4 linked regions of the Schizosaccharomyces pombe genome follow. The protein of the gene in region 4 binds, or shares a complex with, the protein of the main gene of each other region. Each region holds a gene or a part of one and is shown on either strand. Other genes may lie near its edges. The genes, in order: alp13, pst2, cph2 and cph1. A codon is read from its position in the direction of its gene.

Region 1 (3,729 bases), 790 kb from region 4:
CCAAAATTCCCTCTTCCACCTGACGTTCTATAGTAGAACCTGGGGCAATTAAACTAGAGCTAGTTACAAGGTATAAAGAATAGTCAATTTGACGTTTCATGTTTGGTATAAAAGTTCTTATATAGAAGTCAAGTAAGTAAACAAAATCCTAGAAATGCCAGATTATGTTGCGGACACCAAAAATTTGACAGTTCAATCTTTCTATGCTAAGAAAAATGAAAATTGAATATTATCCTAATTTAATCAAGAATTTGGCGAAAGTGTTACAAACTATGTTTGCAAATTTTGCTCCATCTTTTATACTGTGTTAGTCATGGTTCGGATGCGTGCTACGACAAGTTAGTGATAACTGATTTTAATCACTCTATTAAAATGTAGTTTGTCAAATGGAACAAATACTGCATGCTTTTGAAGAAAATATATTCGCATTACTTTGAACAGGTTTTAATGAAATGAGTTTATAAAGGAACAGATATATCTTATTAAAAAGGTGCAGAATAACGTTATATTTAATTATTAAAAAGAAAAAAAAATTCATTCATTGTAATAAATACCCGTTAAAGCTATATTATTGAATAAATATGGAACAGCTTAACGTTTGAAGGTCCTAGTCTAATTCTTCTATTGCAGAAGGTGCTGCCTTTTCTAAACTTTCAATTAAAGATTCTACAAGATGAATTGACTCGTCAACGTTTGGCTCTTTTGACCATTGAAAATCGCTAAGGGATGCAATCTGACTAGAAAGAAATTATTAGCAAGCTAAATAAAGCTCAATTAAAACAACCCAAATTCCTAATCAACCTCATACCTATTCATTTTAAGAGTCAATTGTGTGCAGCGCTCTTTTTCCTCATTTAATTTTGTATAAGCAGATTGCACAGCTTCAGAAAGCCGCTCATTGATTTCACTTATGTCCAGCGGTTTTGCACTATGTGATGTGTAAAATTCTTCTACATCGTGCAATGTAGAGGCATGACTGACCGTTTGCAGTTTCTCAACATTTGTTGCCAACATCCTATCTATTCTGCTTTTGCCGATAACTTGACTCTCGAGATGGATGTTAGCTCTCAATTTTGCTAATCGCTTTTGTCTTTGTTGTGTACAGTATTCGTATAAACGCTCAATCAGTGGGTCTTCTCTGTATCTCTGAGGAAACAGTTGCCGCCATTGTTCTAAGCTTATAATAGACTGCAACCGCCCTTGAGAAAGAAGATAATCATTAAGTATTTGTTCCTCCATATTCATGAGCAACCTTTGAGATATTAGTAAATTGAATAAATGAAACGCAGCATTTGATGAAAACTCATGTAGAAAAGCTAATTTTTCCTAAAGTATCCTTTTGACTAAAGCATTTTTTATAATGCGTATTGGGACGTATTTGCTGAACATAATGAAAGTTTATTTTTAATTTATCATTAAAAATCCTAAAACAGTAACTTACTGATAGCACTTTCTCCAAGCATTTTGCAGATGAATGAATTTGTTGCTTAGATAGTATCCTGTTACACCCACCGTTTGTTAATGGGTCTAGATAATTTTTAAAACAAAATAGCTAACTCCTTCAAAGTAGGATAAATTTGCTAAGTGTACTGTTTTGGCACACGTCCTCTTACTTCTAACTCACCACCATACCTACAACGTTGTTGGAATGGCCGTGTCATATAAGGTGAATGAACGTGTACTATGCTTTCACGGCCCGTTACTCTATGAGGCTAAAATTGTTGATACTGAAATGAAAGGTGATGTTACCACGTACCTGATTCATTATAAAGGATGGAAAAACAGTTGGGATGAATGGGTTGAACAAGATAGGATACTACAATGGACAGAAGAAAATTTAAAGACTCAGAAAGAGTTAAAAAATGCCGCTATCTCTACGAGACAAAAACCGACTTCTAAAAAGTCCGCATCCAGCACTTCGAAACATGACTCAACTGGAGTTAAAACATCAGGAAAGAGGTCTCGAGAATCGAGCACCGTAACGGTTGATGGCGATTCACATGAATTGCCTTCACGTATAAAAACCCAAAAATCAGAGTCTCCAATTCCTCAACAAGTGAAACGCGATGGAACAACCGATGCTAAAAACGAGGAAACTACTAAGCCCGAGAATAACGAGAAAGACGATTTTGAGGAAGAGCCACCGCTTCCAAAACACAAGATTAGTGTCCCGGACGTTCTAAAGCTATGGCTTGTTGATGACTGGGAAAACATTACCAAAAATCAACAGTTAATAGCTATACCGCGGAATCCCACCGTCCGGGCTGCTATAGCGGCCTTCCGAGAATCCAAGATTTCTCATTTGAACAATGAAATAGACGTTGATGTTTTTGAACAAGCGATGGCTGGTTTGGTTATATACTTTAATAAGTGCTTGGGCAATATGCTGCTGTATCGGTTTGAACGGCAGCAATATTTAGAAATTCGGCAGCAATATCCTGATACTGAAATGTGTGATTTATATGGCGTCGAACATTTAATTCGCTTGTTTGTAAGCCTTCCTGAATTGATTGACCGGACTAATATGGATTCACAATCCATCGAGTGTTTGTTGAATTACATTGAAGAATTCTTGAAGTATGTTTACTGCTTTTAAACTCCCCTACTATACTAACCATTTATTTAGGTATCTCGTTCTACATAAAGATGAATATTTTATTAAAGAATATCAAAACGCCCCTCCAAACTATAGATCTTTGGTTGGTGTATAAAATTATGATCGTTTGCATCTATCCCAAAGATAACTAAAACGGTAATCTAAAATATATACGTTTTCTTTTTGAGATATAATACACTATTATCTATAGAATGCAGTAGGACCAACATAAGGCATTCAGAGAATTCATGCAATTATTATGTTGTTCCTTAATATTCAGATATTAATCATTTTGCTCTTCAAAGAGACAATTTGCTTCTGCAAATTGCCAATTGGAGTATCAAATTCTAAAGATCCAGAAATTTGACTTCCAAACTGATAAAGTTCTGCATTTACGACACCTTTCATTGCCTGGATGCTCAGGTCTAACGAACTTTCTGCCGGGATACACTGCTGCTCCTGTTCAGTTATATTGGCAACTCTTCTCAATTTTTCTTTAATACAACTCCATTTTTCTATTGTTTTTAAAATTTTTTTATCGTCAACCCGATGTTGTAATGTATCAGTCCGCTTATTGAATCCATCCATAAAATTGTAATAAAGCTTTATGAGTGCCCGTCTAAGGGCCAATGTGTATAACCATTGAGGACGTATGTAATACTAGAATTTGGTGAGTTGGACGTAAATAAGAACCAGTAAATATAAAAACTAACCACAACTTGCTAAGAATGTGTACTTACTTTTGTAATAACGAAAGTCGAGAGACCACTGATAGAAAAAGTATATAATATGTAAATTAAGAAGGACAATAAGCTGGACGAAACTTGTATATTATCTGGAAAAGCTTTAACAGGCGGATTTTCTTTAGGAAGCAAAGGACTTTTGCTTTGAACAGCACTGTTCGAACTCATTTTTAGAATGATCGAAAATTTTGCACTAGTGAAAATATGGATATCAAACCAGTTGAAGAAGAAAATGATAAGCGTAAAAAAGATGGTTAAGCATATAGTGTTGCGGAATAAGTAGTTTGATTGTTCGAAATTAATACGAAGCAGTAAAAAGCAACTTTGCAAAATTAACAGAACAAATGAAATGAATAAGTTTGTTATATCTAACGGATTGTTATTAAAATG
Region 2 (6,144 bases), 1.4 Mb from region 4:
TTAAGTAAATATTCGTCGAATCTTCAAAACAATCTATAAATCCTACGATGTTTGGATGACTCATGGATTGGTGCACCTTTATTTCTCCAAAGAGCTTCAGCTTTGTTTTATCATTTTGTAGTGACCTTTTAGCAATAACTTTAGCAGCGTAAATATTTCCATAATTATCTTTGACTCGAAAACATCTCGCAAAGCCGCCTTCACCAATGCAATCGTAGCGAGTGTAGAATATATTTTTTTTATTATTATGAAGATTAGTTGGCGGAGTAAAGCAAAGACGAGAGGCTTTGGACTTCTTCTTCGGGGTTATAGCAGTTTTGGGCTCTTTAATTGCAACACTCGCCATTTGGTATTTGTTTCTAACAAAACGCAGGTGGTAACTTTTGAGGGTAAACAAAGTGGTTGCTACGACAACCGCTTGTTTGTAAATAAAAATCTGTGCATTGTAATATTTTATGTAGTAATTACAGAAGTACGGCTTTAGAAAATTTAATACAAAGCTTATGTGCAAAAATTTCAGTAAATTCGTACTATACATAAATCCTTGAAATTATAAAATACCTAGAAAGATAAGTTATGTTAACAAAGTAATATAAAACTATTAAAGTCAAATTGTATTTAAGTAAATATGATCAATAGGTAGGTCGACTGCATTAAAATCATTATGGGATAAATAGTGCATTAATGTCAGCATCAAAATTCACCTCTGCCGTGTTGTCAGAAGTTCCCCTAACCGATTTTAATAACGATTCCCATCGATTTCTCCAACGCTGTTTTCTTTTATTCTGGCAATCAAGGAAGTCGGTATCTCTAAGGCGCAGGTAAGATGCATCTATGTAAGAATCTTCTGTGCGTGGTAAGTAGAGCAATTTAAACGAGTCTAAACATAATTTTGCTTGCAATCCGGAAACCAATTCTGCAGATCTTAATAACTTTGTTTGAAGGCGTGAAACCAATTGCTCAACTGTTCTTTCTTTCTCTATATTTCTGCAAAGAAAGGGACAACGATAATTTTTATAAGATATTTCTTCAGTAAGTTTTTGTATACGATAATTTTGAACATATTTTTTCCAAACTCGTCTCTGTGTATCCAAACTTTGATCCACAATAAGATTCGCTCGCTTCATTATTTTGATTCCAAATGATTTAAATTTGTTTATCCAACAAAATCGAAACAAAATTTCATCAGGATTCAAAAGCTTTTCAATTTCCAAGCGATAAAGAAAGTCATCATAATTCTTCTTAGGCGAAGCAGAACTATTTTGTTCGACTAAACTAGTAACGAATTTGTATTTTCCATCGGAAACGATGTGGTGGACTTGTTTAGCAGCAGACCAAACGAGTTTATCAATAGTATATATTTTATAGGCTTTATTGCCATAATAAAACCGCAGATAGTCCTCGAAGGCACTTTGATCAACTATCCCATATATTAATCGAAGAATCATCACATAAGTATTTTCGTAATGAGTTTTTTCATCAGGGACATCTGAAAGATCATTCCACCTATCGCGCCAAATCTTTTGTTTTTGAGATACTGGGTTTGGTATTATACGCTGTTGGATAATGGACACTTGATCCTCCAAACGCTGAAGCTCATAAAGCCTTTCGTATAATAAGTTAAAAAGTCTAAAAAATACGTACATAGAAGAATATCCAAACTGTTCTTTATCGACGTCGTCATGCATTTCATTCTCCGTATCACCAGCATGATCTTGATGTTCCAAAAGACTATCTGGATGACTTGGATATTTGAGACTGGCTTTAATGGCTGCAGCAGGTTGTGAAAGCTGTTTCTTAGAAACCGGCGTTACGTTTCCAGATTCATCACTTAAAGAGTTTTGAGAGTTAGATTGTGATTTGTTACCGGATTCTTCTTTTTTGCGAGCAGCTGCAGCTGAACGACTTTCGCGTTGACCATTGATTTTAGGTTGTTTTACAAATTCCGTCAACTGGGTTATAGAATTAGATCTTTTCCGACGTACAGGCTTGTTACCAACTATATTCGGGGCATTCACATCGTAATCAGGACCACGAAAAACTTGATCCAGGAATATCGAAAATTTATCCTTTTCAAGACCAAAATGTAAAGGCAATATATTCTTGAAAAAATGCTCAACTTTCTTTAAACCAGAGGGAGAGTTACATACAATGTATGTGCATACCATATAACAAGTATCAAAAAGTACTATTTCGTTGTCATATACAAAAGAAAATTCGAAAGCTGATCTACTTCGCAAAGGAAAATGGAGCTTCGCTTGCGATCGTAGAATGTCGGCTTCTGCTAAGAGAAACTTTGAAGATACATTCTTCTTATCTCTTGCCTTAAAATAAACGCATTGTGAATCTAAGCTCTTATCGTAATTTTTAAACTCAATACTTCGCCATCCAGGTTGAAGACTTCTTTTAACAGACTTCCACTCTTCGTTTTTTTCTTCTAATCTGCTGATTACCAATGGTAATGTGAGGCAAGGCATTCTTTCCAAGGCCTTAAACATTTCCTCTGCATGCTCACTGGTATAAACAAGCTTAATAGTTTTCTTGTATATACTTTTTGATGGTAAACCTAGCCCTTCCTCGAGAGTATATGTTTCTCTTTCCTCTTCCGGCAATTCATTTATACGGTTCTGAATTTTTTTAAGAGACTTGATTGTCCAGGAAGTAGCTTCAATATGCCGATCAAATTCATAACGTTCCTCTTCCAACTTTGTCATTGCCTCTTCATAAGGCGTTTTCCTCTGAACAATGAAACCGCTTTCTTCAGATGCCCAAGTTGGATGACTGACCCAGTCATCATTAAGTATACCCCATGCAAAATCATCTCTACCGCTGCAAGAAATATTGCGTTCTTCGACAGGAAGCAATCGGTAACTCGGGCCACATTCCGGGAAGTCTGAGCAAGCGGAATTGTATACAGATAAAAACTCTTCCGGACTCAAACTAGTAAGGCTTAAAAAGCTTCTCCAAAGTCCCGAATTCGATTTAAGAAACCCAAACCCACGACTCACCAGAATATTTCTATCAATTATCCCTTGAACGTACAAATTCAGGAGTTTTAAAAATTCGTGGTAAGTTTCTACATCGGTAAGTACATTTTTCACATTTTTGAAAAAGTCACTGCTCTCATTTGATAAATGTGAAAATGGTGAGAGGTTGTCCGGCCTTGATTGACTAAGCAAATCAGAAATATTACTCAACGTAAATTGGGAACTCTGAATTCCTCTTAATGGAAACGATCCTAGAGGAGGTTTACTCCCAAAAAAGATGGAGCTTGGTAAAAAGTTGTGAAACTCGTGGGCTAAAGATGGATGCTCCGCTAGCAAAGACGTTACAATAGTCTGAAGCTCAGAAAGCGAACACTCAGAGTTTTTAAACTTACGAAGACTATCCTGTAATTTAAAGAACTGTTCGGGATTGCTCAATAATGCTCGTCGAACTCGTGAAACAAATCCTATAGCTCTATGATAGGTACAAGGTAAGTCGTTGTAAGTAGCTACATAAGTAGACGGTGTAGAAACTGGACCAGATGGGGTGGTAAATTGCAATGTGAAGTTGGCACCGCTATTCGATAAAAGGTATTTATAAGACGAGGGCAAAAAGATGTTCAAATATTCTAAAAGATCTGGGTAATCTCTTAAGATTACAGATATTCTTTCAATAAACCCGGGAAAATCGACACTAATGTTCATGTTAATAAGTGAATAGTAATAAAAAAAGAGCTATCTCAAAGCAACTCAGTAAATAAGCCATATATACATTTCATTGTGTAAAGCCTTCACAACATCCATGAAAGCGCTATAAACATAAGGACGATGACACAGTCTTTGACCCAACTTTTGAACGAATGCCTTTATATCAAGCTCGGGGAGTGCGGTACCATTAGGGGAAAAATCATGGACTAATTGATTCTGCATCTCGGCCACTAACGTTGAGTTGTCTAACAACATTGGTTAAAATGAGTTATGTATTAAATTGATACGTACCATTTTTTAATATCGCTAGTGTTTGTTCCATGTATTTTGATCTTTAACCATCAAATGACTAGGAATACGATCTCGTTTATTTTGGAGGTGATGATTTGGGAAACGGCAAATGCAACTAAGCGCACAAACTCGTCAACGCATTACATGAACTGACGCTGATAGCCAAAGTTCAAATGATTTATCAAGACATGAACACAAATACCACATTGGATGGTGTTTTACACTTACAACGAATACTTTAGAAAAAATACTAACGAGAAGAATCAAACCCAATATAATTGTTAAAAAATATTCCTTTTAAATAATTAAACACTACATCTAAACATTATTTTCTAAGAATAATAGAGATTTAATAAAACCGAAACTATGCATCGTCTTCATCAAGAATAAGAAATCGAAAACTATCTACTTTCAAAGTTAAGTTGTCGACTACTTTACTTAAGTGCATTCGCAAAACAAACAACCAAGATGGTGAAATAAAGTTTTTAAATACGAACAGGAATGGCAGAAGAAATTACGCTTTAAAAATGAAACAAAGTAAACATTCAATATAAAATTTTACCTCAAGAATAAATCAAAAGATGTGACACAATAGATTAACCACGTTAAATTTATAATGTTCGCAAACTAAGACGAGGAACCTTGGTCACATAAAAGCGGATGATTGGCGAATTCTGGTTGAATGGTAACATCATATATACCAAAAGATTGAAGGACATTACGGATATCCGTAGTAAGCTTTGTATAAGACTCTCCCTTATCATCAGGAAGTGTAACGCAGACATGAACAGTGGCAATTAATTTAACGTCCGAAAGCTGCCAGATGTGGAGTTCATGAACAGATTCCACGCCGTCTAGATGATTAATTAGGTTGGAAACATCATCCAGTTTGATGCTTTGAGGAGCAACTTGTAATAAGATGAGAGCAGCGGATTTACAGAGAGGAATTGCGCTAAAAAGAATAATGAAAGTAAGAAGGATACTAATGCATGGGTCAAAGAGGAAACGCCAAGAATAGTCAGTATACTTGATGAATAAAGCAGCACTAATAACACCAATATTACCGAGAGCATCACCCAAGACATGAAGAAAGACACCATGCATATTCAAATTTCGTTTCTTCGTTTGTTTTGGTGCATCTTGTTCAATACTGCCATGGTTGTTGACTGGCTTTGAAGTACCAGCACCATTATGATTACCAGTGTAACTCAATAAAGGAGAAGATTCGGTAGCAGAGTCTGCGACTTGAGTGTGTGTATGGCTGACTTCTTGTTGACTGGTATTACAACGATGAACGATAGTCGAAGGTAAAACGGATTCAATATCATCTTCTTCAGGAAAATCGTAATTTTGAGCGGTATGGGTGTGAGGATGATCATGACCATGGTCATGAAATAAAAAGATACCAACGAAATTGCTTAGCAGACCTAAAGAACCAACAAAGAACATAAGGGTGGGATTGCTGACAGAAGGAGGCTCAATGAAGCGCTCTATGGCTTCCATAAAAATGAACATGCAAAGGGCAATGAGAAATACACCGTTCGACAAAGCACCTAAAATCTCTGCACGTTGCCAGCCATATGTGTATTTTGGTTCGTGAGATGTTGAATGTGCTAGACGAGTAGCCCAGAGAGCGACCAGTAAACTGACAATGTCATTTAACATATGAAATGAATCAGCAATTAGGGCAAGTGAATCGATCGCATAACCAGTAATAATTTCGATGAAGAAAAAAGTAACATCAATACCTAATAAAAGGATAATCCGAGTTTGTCTTGCGAGGTCGAACATAGTTTGAAAACGAAAAGTCACCAATTTCAAAAAAATGGTAAGGGTTGAATTTCACAGGGAGAAAAAGGAATAAGGTAAATTTAGAATGAAAGGTGGCTTTTTAAAAATGAATTTAAATAAAAGAGGCGCAAACTTGCTATATTTAACAAAAAAAAAAGCCAAAATAAGACGAAGATGCGAGAGGGTTTAAGAAAATCTAAAGAATCAAATATCTGTAATTTTGCTTTCCTTGTTTTTACAGAATAAATTAATTAAACCAATAAACCTTCAAAAAACTGCCAAAACTGCCGTTTTTGATAGTAAATTAAAAAGGAGGCTTTTGAGAAGTAAGCGGTGAAGAAAAAATAAAATCACACGTTGACTACTATTA
Region 3 (4,684 bases), 250 kb from region 4:
TGGACCGCTTTGAAACCCAAAATACTATTTCCATCGCAAAAAAGAAGGGTTAAGGGTCGATTTACTTTCCCTTTCAGTCGAAGAAGTAATTTAGCCCAATCTAAACTTCCGGTTGATTTGGTGCCTATTAGACTTGAAATAGATGCTGATCGCTACAAATTAAGAGACTCCTTTACGTGGAATTTGTACGACAAGTGTATTTCATTAGATCAATTTGCTGAACAGATCTGCATTGATTATGATATTCCACTGCATAATGTACATATTGTTCAAAATATTTCAAAGAGTATTCAAGCTCAAATAAATGACTATGAGCCGCGTAAGGCTCAGTCTAATTTAAGTTTTGTTTCAGATGTTAGTTCGTCTACCTCAGAGACTGTTTATGCGCACGAACCGTCAGATTCGTTGGCTAAAGCTTCCAAGCAACAAATTCCAACTGTACAAAACGATTTGAGGATATTGATCAAGCTTGATATTACCATTGGTCGGCTGAATCTTATTGACCAATTTGAATGGAATTTGTTTGCTCCTGAAAGCAGCGCTGAGGAATTTGCTACTGTGATGTGCTTAGATCTAGGATTGTCAGGAGAATTTTGTACAGCTGTAGCTCACTCAATTCGTGAGCAGTGCCAAATGTACATAAAATATTTAAGCCTTATAGGATATTTGTTTGACGGAAGTGAAATCGAAGACGAGGAAGTTCGCTCTTACATTTTACCTCCTCTTAAAAACACACTACGGTTCTCTGACATGGAATCCTCCTCCTTTGCCCCAATGATTTACGAGCTAAACGATGCTGAAATGGAACGGCAGGATAGAGGTTATGATAGGGAAGCACGTCGTATGCGGCGTAGACAAGGAAGGGCAAAACACGGGATTATGTTACCAGATCTTCGGGACATTCCTAAAATACATCGAAGTCTCTTCCCCAGTTCATCGGTCCCCTCGGATGATGACTTTATGCATGCTTTAAGTTTATCTACAAATTCTGATGGCGAGACACTTAACGAAATTAATACTAATAATCCTGAAAGAGAACATTTAATTGTGCGTCTAAAAGTTGACTCTCAGAAACTAAAAATAATCGTTGAACAATCACAAACCTTAACCCTCAATAACTTCCAACAACGGAAACTCACTCCCTTGCCCAATTCCATGAGTTTTGACTCACTAAACGAATTTGAAAGTGAAAGGAACACACCTTCTACATATGGGCAAAATATTTCGCCATTACCACAATTTTCGTCTCCTAGCCTTTCTTCTGACGCGTTTCTTACTAACAGCAATTCTTCTGAATCCGCTTTGGTTCATATGCAAAAGTTAAATTTACCTGATTTTACCCCTTCCTGGGTTAAACGATGTGTTATAGAGACATTTGCAAAATTTCCGAATGATCGATTTAATGTTATCGTAAAACCTGCTTTAAATCCTGCTGAAAGGATGACTGTGAGAATATGTTGTCATGATTGCATTAATGAGTATTTTACAGCCGGCCCAGGATTCACGTTTGGCAATTTCCATATCCACTTGTTGTCAAGCTCGCATCAACAAAAAAAGGAGGTGAGAATGAATACGGTTTTGGATAGAAATACTTAATACAATTTTGGAAGAATCTTTATCAAAGACCATAATCAAGATTTGACTCACGTTATGGATAGCTCGACGGACCAGTTTCTTTCAGTTGATAGCTTCTGTTACAAATGAGGCACTCTATCCTCAATACGATTAATTTATTAAATTTGAGGAAATACACTGTATATTATTCAAAGGCTTATTAATCCTTAATGTTCAGTCATGTGGCTAAATTTAAAGTATGTACGGGTAACCGATGAATCAAATTACTTTACAGCCTTCATTTCAGTTTTTGGAAATTATAATATTTTTGATATTTAAACAAAATAACTAACAAATCTTTCTTTTCGGTTTATAGCAGTCTTTCCTTGTTTCTCGTTAAATTCATCTTTGCTAGCATAAATCTTCATTGTATGTTCACACTACACGACGTCCACGTTTTCATCAATGGATGCAAAACCATGGAATCATACATCAGAAGCCTTTCAAGCTTCTATTTTGGAAGATCTTAAAATTATTCAAAAAGCCGGTGCTGAAAGGAATGCAAAGAGTTCGCATGGGTCAATAAATTCCAGGAGCGCTTCACCGAATAAAGCGACCTCGAGAAGAAATAGGGCCCAAAACGGCAACTCTAATGGTAGAGCCTCAGTTGATAACTCTGACGATGGAAGCAAGGATGATTTAGATTATTCTCCTTCTGTTAAGAGAAAGCATGTGAATGGTGAAGGTGCAGAAAAAGGTGATCATGATACATCTAACAACGGACCTAGTATTACTAAGTTAAGAAGAAAAGTTAGGAGAACCTATGATACTAAGGATGGATTTGTGGCTTGGAATACATTGGATGATGACTTTCGTCCTATAGTACCCGATCAAGAGAGATCACGAAAAATCAACCCCCAGAAAGGAAATAATAATAATCTCCTTAAAGAGAATAAGTCTCTAAAAACAACGGCTAAAGACTTATCTGATATCTCTAGTTCATCGATGAAGAAAGCGAATAACTCTTCCAAACCTCTTTTTTCTGGGAAGCTAACTTTCAAGGCTAACATTCCTGTTCCTACCTCTGAGGTCGTAACGGAGAATAATGTTACACGAAATGTTACCGTGTATTCCAACCAAAAACATTTAGGTAATGAATCAGAGAATTTTAACGACATGGAGGGCCGGGCCGAAGACATTAGTAGCAATGAATTACTTCCTACCCCTGAAGAATATCCATACAGATATAACAATGATTACTGCTCCGCATGTCATGGTCCAGGCAATTTTTTGTGTTGTGAAACATGCCCGAATAGTTTTCATTTTACTTGTATAGATCCGCCTATCGAAGAAAAAAATTTACCAGATGACGCTTGGTATTGCAATGAATGTAAACACCATAGCTTGTACAATGAATTGGATGAGCAAGAAGAATTGGAAAGTAATGTCAAAGAAGAAGGAACGATGGTTGATGTGTGGATGCAACTTTGTACATATATTGATTCTCACAATCCTATTCAGTTTCATCTTCCTCATTCAATTAGCAGCTTTTTTAGAGGTGTCGGAAGTGGAGTGATGGGTGAATATATCGAGACGGATGTTTTGAAGCATCTTAAATCTAGCCGAAGAAGCAATGGAGAAGAACGTGATCCTTTGCTTTTGAAGAGTAAAAGTGGTACTCCCATTTTATGTTTTCGTTGTCATAAATCGGCTCTGGTCTCTCAGAGTATACTAGCTTGCGATTATTGTAACTCCTACTGGCATCCCGATTGTTTAAATCCTCCACTCGCAACTTTGCCTTCGAATCTCCGGAAGTGGAAATGTCCTAACCATAGCGATCATGTCACGCCTCGGTATAGGTTACCTGAAAAAGCAAAGGTTATTCGTGTCGGTTTACCTCGTGGTTTCAAAAATAAAGGAAATATAGTTATTGATGAAAATGAGGATGAACCATCTGTGCAAACAATACAACTACAGGGAAAAATACGTGTGGTACCTAGTAAACCGTTTAAGTTGAACTTTTTAGAACAAATACGTGATAACGTTATTAATTTACGTAAAATGGTTGAGCAGGATGAACAACTATGTATTGAAACCTTTTCCAAATTTGACTTTTATGCAACCCGTGATTGTGAATTGCCTTTGCGAATCCTTTGCGATGTTGCCAATGACAACTTAGAAAATGATGATTATGTTTTGGCTTTAAGGGATCTTTTGAGAATTTCTAAATGGGATCCTAATCAACCCGTTCCTGCACCTTTTGATTTGGCTAACTTATTAAGCTATTGAAAGATAGCATAGCACCTCGATTCTTTCAAGTGCGGTGTCTTCGACGTTGAAATGTCTTAATATTTATGCCTATCTAACCATGAATGATACGATTTCATATATGAATGGTTTTATTTTTTTTCTTTATTTTTGGTATTGCGAAGGTGCTTCCAATTAGTGAATTGTGATCGAAGTGTGGTATTCAAAAAGTCTCCTTGGGAAAGGTGCAGGCATTTTTCCTTAATTGTAAATTTAATTAAGTTGTATATGCAATTATGCTGTGCAACAAATACTTTAACTTATAGTTGAACTGCAAAATTAAGAAAAGTTACGTTACAAAATGGAGTACAGAAATAAGCCAAATTTTATCACGTTTAATTATTCTTATTTGAATGCTTTAACGTGTAGTATTTTTGTATATTGAATTATTAGTTTCACCGTAGAACTGTTGATACAACTAAAGAATTCTTTGGGATAAGTTGAATTACAAGCAAATGATTGCGATAAACTGGATAGAATGCAAAGCGATTTGCAATAGTACTTAAACAATAGCACAGAAATAATAAAGAAACTGTATGATAGTGTAATTTCAAAAGTAGTTTGCTTACGTATTATTAACATTTTTTTTATTCCTTTTAATGTGTCATTATTAGCACATAAGGAAAAGTTGCATTGCTCTAAAATAAAATTACCTTAAAACATGTCGGTTTCATCATCATGTCTATCATTGCTTTGTAACTTAGTAGATGCTTTATTGTGCCTTTAGCTTGTTTTTATTTTCCATATTAGTTTGTTCTAAGAATTGGGTAACCTCGAAATTTATTACAAGGTCAATTAATAGGCAATACGTTTTTTGTTCCCT
Region 4 (3,992 bases):
ATCTCCTATACAGAATGCCGGTTCTGCCATGTTACCTTCGTTTTCTAATCTTCCGAACTTATACTCTTCCTCGTATCTTGAAGAATGGAATGTCTTTGCTCAATACAAACGAAGAGAAAGCAACGCTACCGACTTTGAAGACTTTAGAAGTCAGGTTGGTGATGATGAAAGCAAGTTCGACGAACCTACTAGGTTCTAGTTAATAAGTATTTGCTTACTTGTAATTACGAATGCCAACATATCTTTTATTTGTTGATATTTTTGGTGTTCAAGTTTTATGGACCGTTTGGTCTGTAAGCGTTTTAAACCATTGATATGGCTGTTAAATAGACTTTAGTAATAGAACCTTTCCTTATCACTTTCTTTTATTTTATTCCTCTTTGTCTAGTAAATGCATCTTACTCATATATACTTATATATACTTATATATACTTATATATACTCACACGGTACAATACGCGTATAAAATTTAAGTATTGAGAAGTTGTTAGTATAAAATAGAACTTTTGCCCTATTAGGAAGGATTTGCAATGATTAATTGCATAACGAAAATTTTTTAAAAGCCTTAATGGAGAAAAGTAATGTAAAATAAGCCAATTACAACAGATAGCCAGTTCTAAGAGGTTTTATAAATACAACATTAGCAAAAAAATAACAGAAAACAACCTTTTCTGACGATTTGAACACGACAGATTAGATTAACGTAGTCTGATTTTATACAAAATGTAAAAATATCGTAAAAATTCAAGTGCGTGCCTTATTGAATAAAGTGCGTAGTGCAATAGGTAGGTTTGGGTGCGTTCTCGCAGGAAGTAGTGCGCTTTTTACGTCTGGAGGAATAACCTCTAACTCTCGTTTTTTCCTTTCATTATTAAACTTTTTAGCTTCTATGCCAATCGCGTACAAAAAATCTTTGATGAGACCGTCTTCTGAAACTTTGTAGAGACAACTCACGGGTAATCTTGGGAAATAGAGAAGTTCATCACTTGGAAACTCTCCCATAAGAAATTGCCATCCTGAAATCATGACTTTAGGATTAAGAGTATTAGAAGTTGTATCCAACACCAAGGGCGTCCTTATCACCACGGCGTTTTTTGGTACTCTCATACCTTTTTTTCCAATGGAGTCATGAGAGCATTTTTTAGCATGCTCTTTACAATTTTTATGATAGAAGGTGTCACACAGCTGGCAACCATAGACCCAACAAGCACCCATTGATGGCTTAGAGCAATAACCACAGTAAGCTAGATTAGTGATAGAGGAGCCAGTCGGCAAAGCAGAAAACTCGTCAGTATCCATTTCTCCTTCAGTTTCCTTATAAGCACCTGTATCCCCACGAGATATTCCATGGAAATAATGCACAAGGTCGTCGGGCAATCGGTACTGCGAGGGATTCTGAGAATCAATCCAATCGTAAAGCTGGGACCATATACTAAGAGGGTGCTTAGGAGGGTGATGCGATTTGATTGAGCAAGTCACACAAAACCAAGATCCTTCTGGAATATTTTCAGGAGTCAAGGGAGGTTCCAAGCATGAAAGATGGAAACTGCAAGGACATCCCTCGCAACAAATAAAAAGACCTCTTCCTCCGCATGCACTACAATAGTCGACGTTGCGTATAGTCGCTTTTCGTCTCCGTCGCTTTACAGGAGTTTGTTGAGATTCGGTTTCGAGATGACTTTTTAGGGAACTACCCCGGCTTTTTTGAATAGGTGCTTTATTTGGAGATTTATTCGAATAACTAGCTTTTTGTTTTTTCACTGGAGAACTTATATCCATCTCTTTGTCTTGGCTAATTGGCAAGACATTTACATGGTCAGTTGAAGAGTGAGTTGATGATGTTAAAGAATTATTTTTAAAATTAGAAGGGGGACCTTCATTTACGAAAGAGTCGCCATGACTATTATTAGAAATTGAAGGTACTGTAGGTTGAGATGAATTGTTTATAGAGGATGCCATTAGATACTTCCCATGCTATGAGCAAAGCAACATGTAATACGCGACGGTTAGCACTTAGAAATATCAATACTATCCTTAATGTTTTAAGGAATATTAAAGGTAAAATTAATGGTTATCGTAAAAAAGAACAATGGTCGAGGTTGTAAGTATATTATAGTGAAGCAACGCTGTTATGAAGATGCTAAGTTACAACAAGTCTTTGAACGCCAAACGTCGTTGCAATTAGACTTAGAAAACTACTTAAAGATATCTGATTTTCGAGAGGAGCATTTAGTATAAATGATTATCATAAGAATAAATTCCCTTCTATATGTAAAATATTTGAACATTTTGTTAAAAACTATTATCCATTTGATGGAACATGGAGCGTAAATTAAGTAGAGAAGCACTTTATGCCTCTTATTATGTTGTTCATCGTTTTTTCGTCAATTCAATATATTCACTAATTACTTAGAAGATGAAATAACTAAAGAATTTGACCACAACGTGAAAAAGTTGTATATATAATACATTCGTTTACAAACGTTTACTGCAATTAATTATCAAGATGAAATTATAGACGGTGAAACTTTTAAGGGTACTTTTTGTTGTTCAAACACAATTCCAAAAACCTTTGGAATAAGAATTTTCTCAAATTTCTTAATTCATGTCTATTAATTGCTATTTTTCGTGTGGTATATACTGTTCAAATCCAACCTCTCACCTAGTCATTGCCTCCTTCTTTTACACTAAGTTGTAAGTAAACTTATAACCAACCACAACTCGGTTTGCCCTTTAAAAAATATTTGTTTGAAGTCTAATGAATATTAAGGGAATTAACTAAATTAAATTAAAATCAAAGATTTGATTTAAGATATTTGAAGACTTCCTCTGTATTGTATAACGAGCGACCTTAAACAGTATCGATTTGGAGAGCACTGTGACGGAGATTTGACATATTTCACACAAAATGTTAAAAACGCAAGAGATATATTCTTCAGAAGATGAGGATGACATGTGTTGGTATGTTTTACTAGCCGATTAGTATCAAAATTAACTGACAATTGCAACAGTCCTCTATGTATGGAAGAAATTGATATCTCTGATAAAAACTTCAAACCATGCCAATGCGGATACAGAGTTTGTAGATTTTGCTGGCACCATATCAAAGAAGATCTAAATGGCCGTTGTCCTGCATGTCGCCGTCTGTACACTGAAGAAAATGTTCAATGGCGGCCTGTCACGGCAGAGGAGTATGTAATTCAGATTATAGAATTCTTGTTTAAGCATAATCTTGTTTAAATTCACTTTTATTTTTAAACATGTCGCTAATGTTTTTAGATGGAAGATGGACTTACATCGAAAAAACGAGAGGAAGAAACGCGAGAAAGAGAGGAAGGAAGTCGAGCTTTCAAACAGGAAGCATCTTGCAAATATTCGTGTTGTACAAAAGAACCTTGCCTATGTAAACGGCCTTTCTCCCAAAGTTGCAAATGAGGAGAATATCAACGTTCTGAAGGGACCTGAATACTTTGGTCAATACGGAAAGATTATTAAAATTGCAATAAATAAGAAGGCTGCTGCAAATTCTGCAAATGGTCATGTTGGAGTTTATATTACATACCAAAGAAAAGAAGATGCTGCACGAGCGATTGCTGCAATTGATGGCAGCGTAAGTGATGGGCGACATCTTCGCGCATCTTATGGTACCACTAAATATTGCACTTCTTATTTACGGAATCAGCAATGCCCCAATCCTTCTTGCATGTATTTACATGAACCCGGTGACGAGGTGGATAGTTATACTAAAGAAGACTTGGCATCTCTTCAACATACCCGTCCTCTTTCCACTAAACCTAATGTGGTAAATGGTGCTACTCATTCTCCTTCTCCTTCTCTTCCATTCAAAACACCTCTACTTCCTGTTACGAAAACACCGTTAGAAGAGGCTAATAGTAGTCCAGCTGCACAAAATCAGCATATTACAACAGTTGATCATGTTCATCCACAAGTGTCAATGACACCTTCCTTATCCACTAATAACACTGCTACCA

Evidence for each region.
Region 1: the proteins of cph1 (region 4) and alp13 are in contact, whole or in part, in a cryo-EM structure (PDB 8I02), measured with the Schizosaccharomyces pombe proteins. Residues at the interface, in NP_593079.1 of Schizosaccharomyces pombe: Cys123 (codon at 1,593), His140 (codon at 1,542), Ser142 (codon at 1,536), Cys143 (codon at 1,533), Leu144 (codon at 1,530), Glu145 (codon at 1,527), Pro147 (codon at 1,521), Leu148 (codon at 1,518), Thr149 (codon at 1,515), Glu151 (codon at 1,509), His173 (codon at 1,443), Ile177 (codon at 1,431), Trp178 (codon at 1,428), Gln180 (codon at 1,422), Leu181 (codon at 1,419), Tyr182 (codon at 1,416), Trp184 (codon at 1,410), Ile185 (codon at 1,407), Asn189 (codon at 1,395), Pro190 (codon at 1,392), Ser191 (codon at 1,389), Gln192 (codon at 1,386), Tyr193 (codon at 1,383), Leu195 (codon at 1,377), Pro196 (codon at 1,374), Leu199 (codon at 1,365), Val200 (codon at 1,362), Phe203 (codon at 1,353), Ile206 (codon at 1,344), Ser207 (codon at 1,341); in NP_593394.1 of Schizosaccharomyces pombe: Leu180 (codon at 2,186), Leu182 (codon at 2,192), Val183 (codon at 2,195), Trp186 (codon at 2,204), Glu187 (codon at 2,207), Thr190 (codon at 2,216), Lys191 (codon at 2,219), Asn221 (codon at 2,309), Glu222 (codon at 2,312), Ile223 (codon at 2,315), Val227 (codon at 2,327), Gln230 (codon at 2,336), Ala231 (codon at 2,339), Gly234 (codon at 2,348), Leu235 (codon at 2,351), Ile237 (codon at 2,357), Tyr238 (codon at 2,360), Lys241 (codon at 2,369), Cys242 (codon at 2,372), Gly244 (codon at 2,378), Asn245 (codon at 2,381), Met246 (codon at 2,384), Leu247 (codon at 2,387), Leu248 (codon at 2,390), Tyr249 (codon at 2,393), Arg250 (codon at 2,396), Arg253 (codon at 2,405), Gln254 (codon at 2,408), Tyr256 (codon at 2,414), Leu257 (codon at 2,417).
Region 2: the proteins of cph1 (region 4) and pst2 are in contact, whole or in part, in a cryo-EM structure (PDB 8IFG), measured with the Schizosaccharomyces pombe proteins. Residues at the interface, in NP_593079.1 of Schizosaccharomyces pombe: Glu344 (codon at 930), Leu347 (codon at 921), Ile348 (codon at 918), Asp350 (codon at 912), Phe351 (codon at 909), Leu352 (codon at 906), Ala354 (codon at 900), Ile355 (codon at 897), Glu358 (codon at 888), Ala359 (codon at 885), Phe362 (codon at 876), Asn363 (codon at 873); in NP_593646.1 of Schizosaccharomyces pombe: Ser257 (codon at 3,122), Phe261 (codon at 3,110), Lys265 (codon at 3,098), Tyr274 (codon at 3,071), Leu278 (codon at 3,059), Leu281 (codon at 3,050), Asn282 (codon at 3,047), Tyr284 (codon at 3,041), Val285 (codon at 3,038), Arg291 (codon at 3,020), Leu294 (codon at 3,011), Phe312 (codon at 2,957), Leu315 (codon at 2,948), Thr316 (codon at 2,945), Ser317 (codon at 2,942).
Region 3: the proteins of cph1 (region 4) and cph2 are in contact, whole or in part, in a cryo-EM structure (PDB 8I02), measured with the Schizosaccharomyces pombe proteins. Residues at the interface, in NP_593079.1 of Schizosaccharomyces pombe: Leu175 (codon at 1,437), Ser176 (codon at 1,434), Ile177 (codon at 1,431), Gln180 (codon at 1,422), Leu334 (codon at 960), Val336 (codon at 954), Ser337 (codon at 951), Cys338 (codon at 948), Leu339 (codon at 945), Tyr340 (codon at 942), Lys341 (codon at 939), Val342 (codon at 936), Glu344 (codon at 930), Gly346 (codon at 924), Lys349 (codon at 915), Asp350 (codon at 912), Tyr353 (codon at 903), Lys379 (codon at 825), Ser380 (codon at 822), Ala381 (codon at 819), Leu382 (codon at 816), Leu383 (codon at 813), Pro384 (codon at 810), Ala385 (codon at 807), Arg386 (codon at 804), Leu391 (codon at 789), Pro392 (codon at 786), Leu395 (codon at 777), Arg396 (codon at 774), Leu398 (codon at 768); in NP_592978.1 of Schizosaccharomyces pombe: Tyr464 (codon at 3,409), Arg465 (codon at 3,412), Leu466 (codon at 3,415), Pro467 (codon at 3,418), Ala470 (codon at 3,427), Lys471 (codon at 3,430), Val472 (codon at 3,433), Ile473 (codon at 3,436), Arg474 (codon at 3,439), Val475 (codon at 3,442), Gly476 (codon at 3,445), Leu477 (codon at 3,448), Pro478 (codon at 3,451), Arg479 (codon at 3,454), Gly480 (codon at 3,457), Phe481 (codon at 3,460), Lys484 (codon at 3,469), Asn486 (codon at 3,475), Ile487 (codon at 3,478), Val488 (codon at 3,481), Ile489 (codon at 3,484), Asp490 (codon at 3,487), Asp569 (codon at 3,724), Leu571 (codon at 3,730), Glu572 (codon at 3,733), Asp574 (codon at 3,739), Val577 (codon at 3,748), Leu578 (codon at 3,751), Ala579 (codon at 3,754), Leu580 (codon at 3,757).

What each region holds. Positions count from the first base shown.
Region 1 is NC_003424.3:1,586,471-1,590,199, reverse strand, and holds alp13 (Clr6 histone deacetylase complex, chromodomain subunit Alp13/Eaf3), read left to right. Parts: upstream 1-1,622; 5' UTR 1,623-1,648; coding exon 1,649-2,577; intron 2,578-2,626; coding exon 2,627-2,711; 3' UTR 2,712-2,872; downstream 2,873-3,729. Other genes in the region: thi4 (bifunctional thiamine-phosphate dipyrophosphorylase/hydroxyethylthiazole kinase), read right to left, coding at 1-100; centromere localized protein Cnl2, read right to left, coding at 608-737, 809-1,245; SPOM_SPAC23H4.13C (uncharacterized protein), read right to left, coding at 2,873-3,256, 3,337-3,507; SPOM_SPAC23H4.21 (uncharacterized protein), read left to right, coding at 3,727-3,729.
Region 2 is NC_003424.3:2,158,442-2,164,585, reverse strand, and holds pst2 (Clr6 histone deacetylase complex subunit Pst2), read right to left. Parts: upstream 4,101-6,144; 5' UTR 4,015-4,100; coding exon 3,984-4,014; exon of another isoform or gene 3,938-3,983; coding exon 3,757-3,937; exon of another isoform or gene 3,679-3,756; coding exon 663-3,678; 3' UTR 508-662; downstream 1-507. Other genes in the region: Polo kinase Plo1, read right to left, coding at 1-346; ER zinc importer, CDF family, Zhf1, read right to left, coding at 4,611-5,774. UniProt on the Schizosaccharomyces pombe protein: Has a role in chromatin assembly and chromosome segregation. Involved in the deacetylation of histones.
Region 3 is NC_003424.3:543,576-548,259, reverse strand, and holds cph2 (Clr6 histone deacetylase-associated PHD protein-2 Cph2), read left to right. Parts: upstream 1-2,000; 5' UTR 2,001-2,019; coding exon 2,020-3,843; 3' UTR 3,844-4,133; downstream 4,134-4,684. Other genes in the region: SWI/SNF complex subunit Snf5, read left to right, coding at 1-1,596.
Region 4 is NC_003424.3:797,517-801,508, reverse strand, and holds cph1 (Clr6 histone deacetylase-associated PHD protein-1 Cph1), read right to left. Parts: upstream 2,143-3,992; 5' UTR 1,960-2,142; coding exon 745-1,959; 3' UTR 528-744; downstream 1-527. Other genes in the region: ATP-dependent RNA helicase Upf1, read left to right, coding at 1-199; CCR4-Not complex subunit Mot2, read left to right, coding at 2,909-2,961, 3,012-3,191, 3,280-3,992.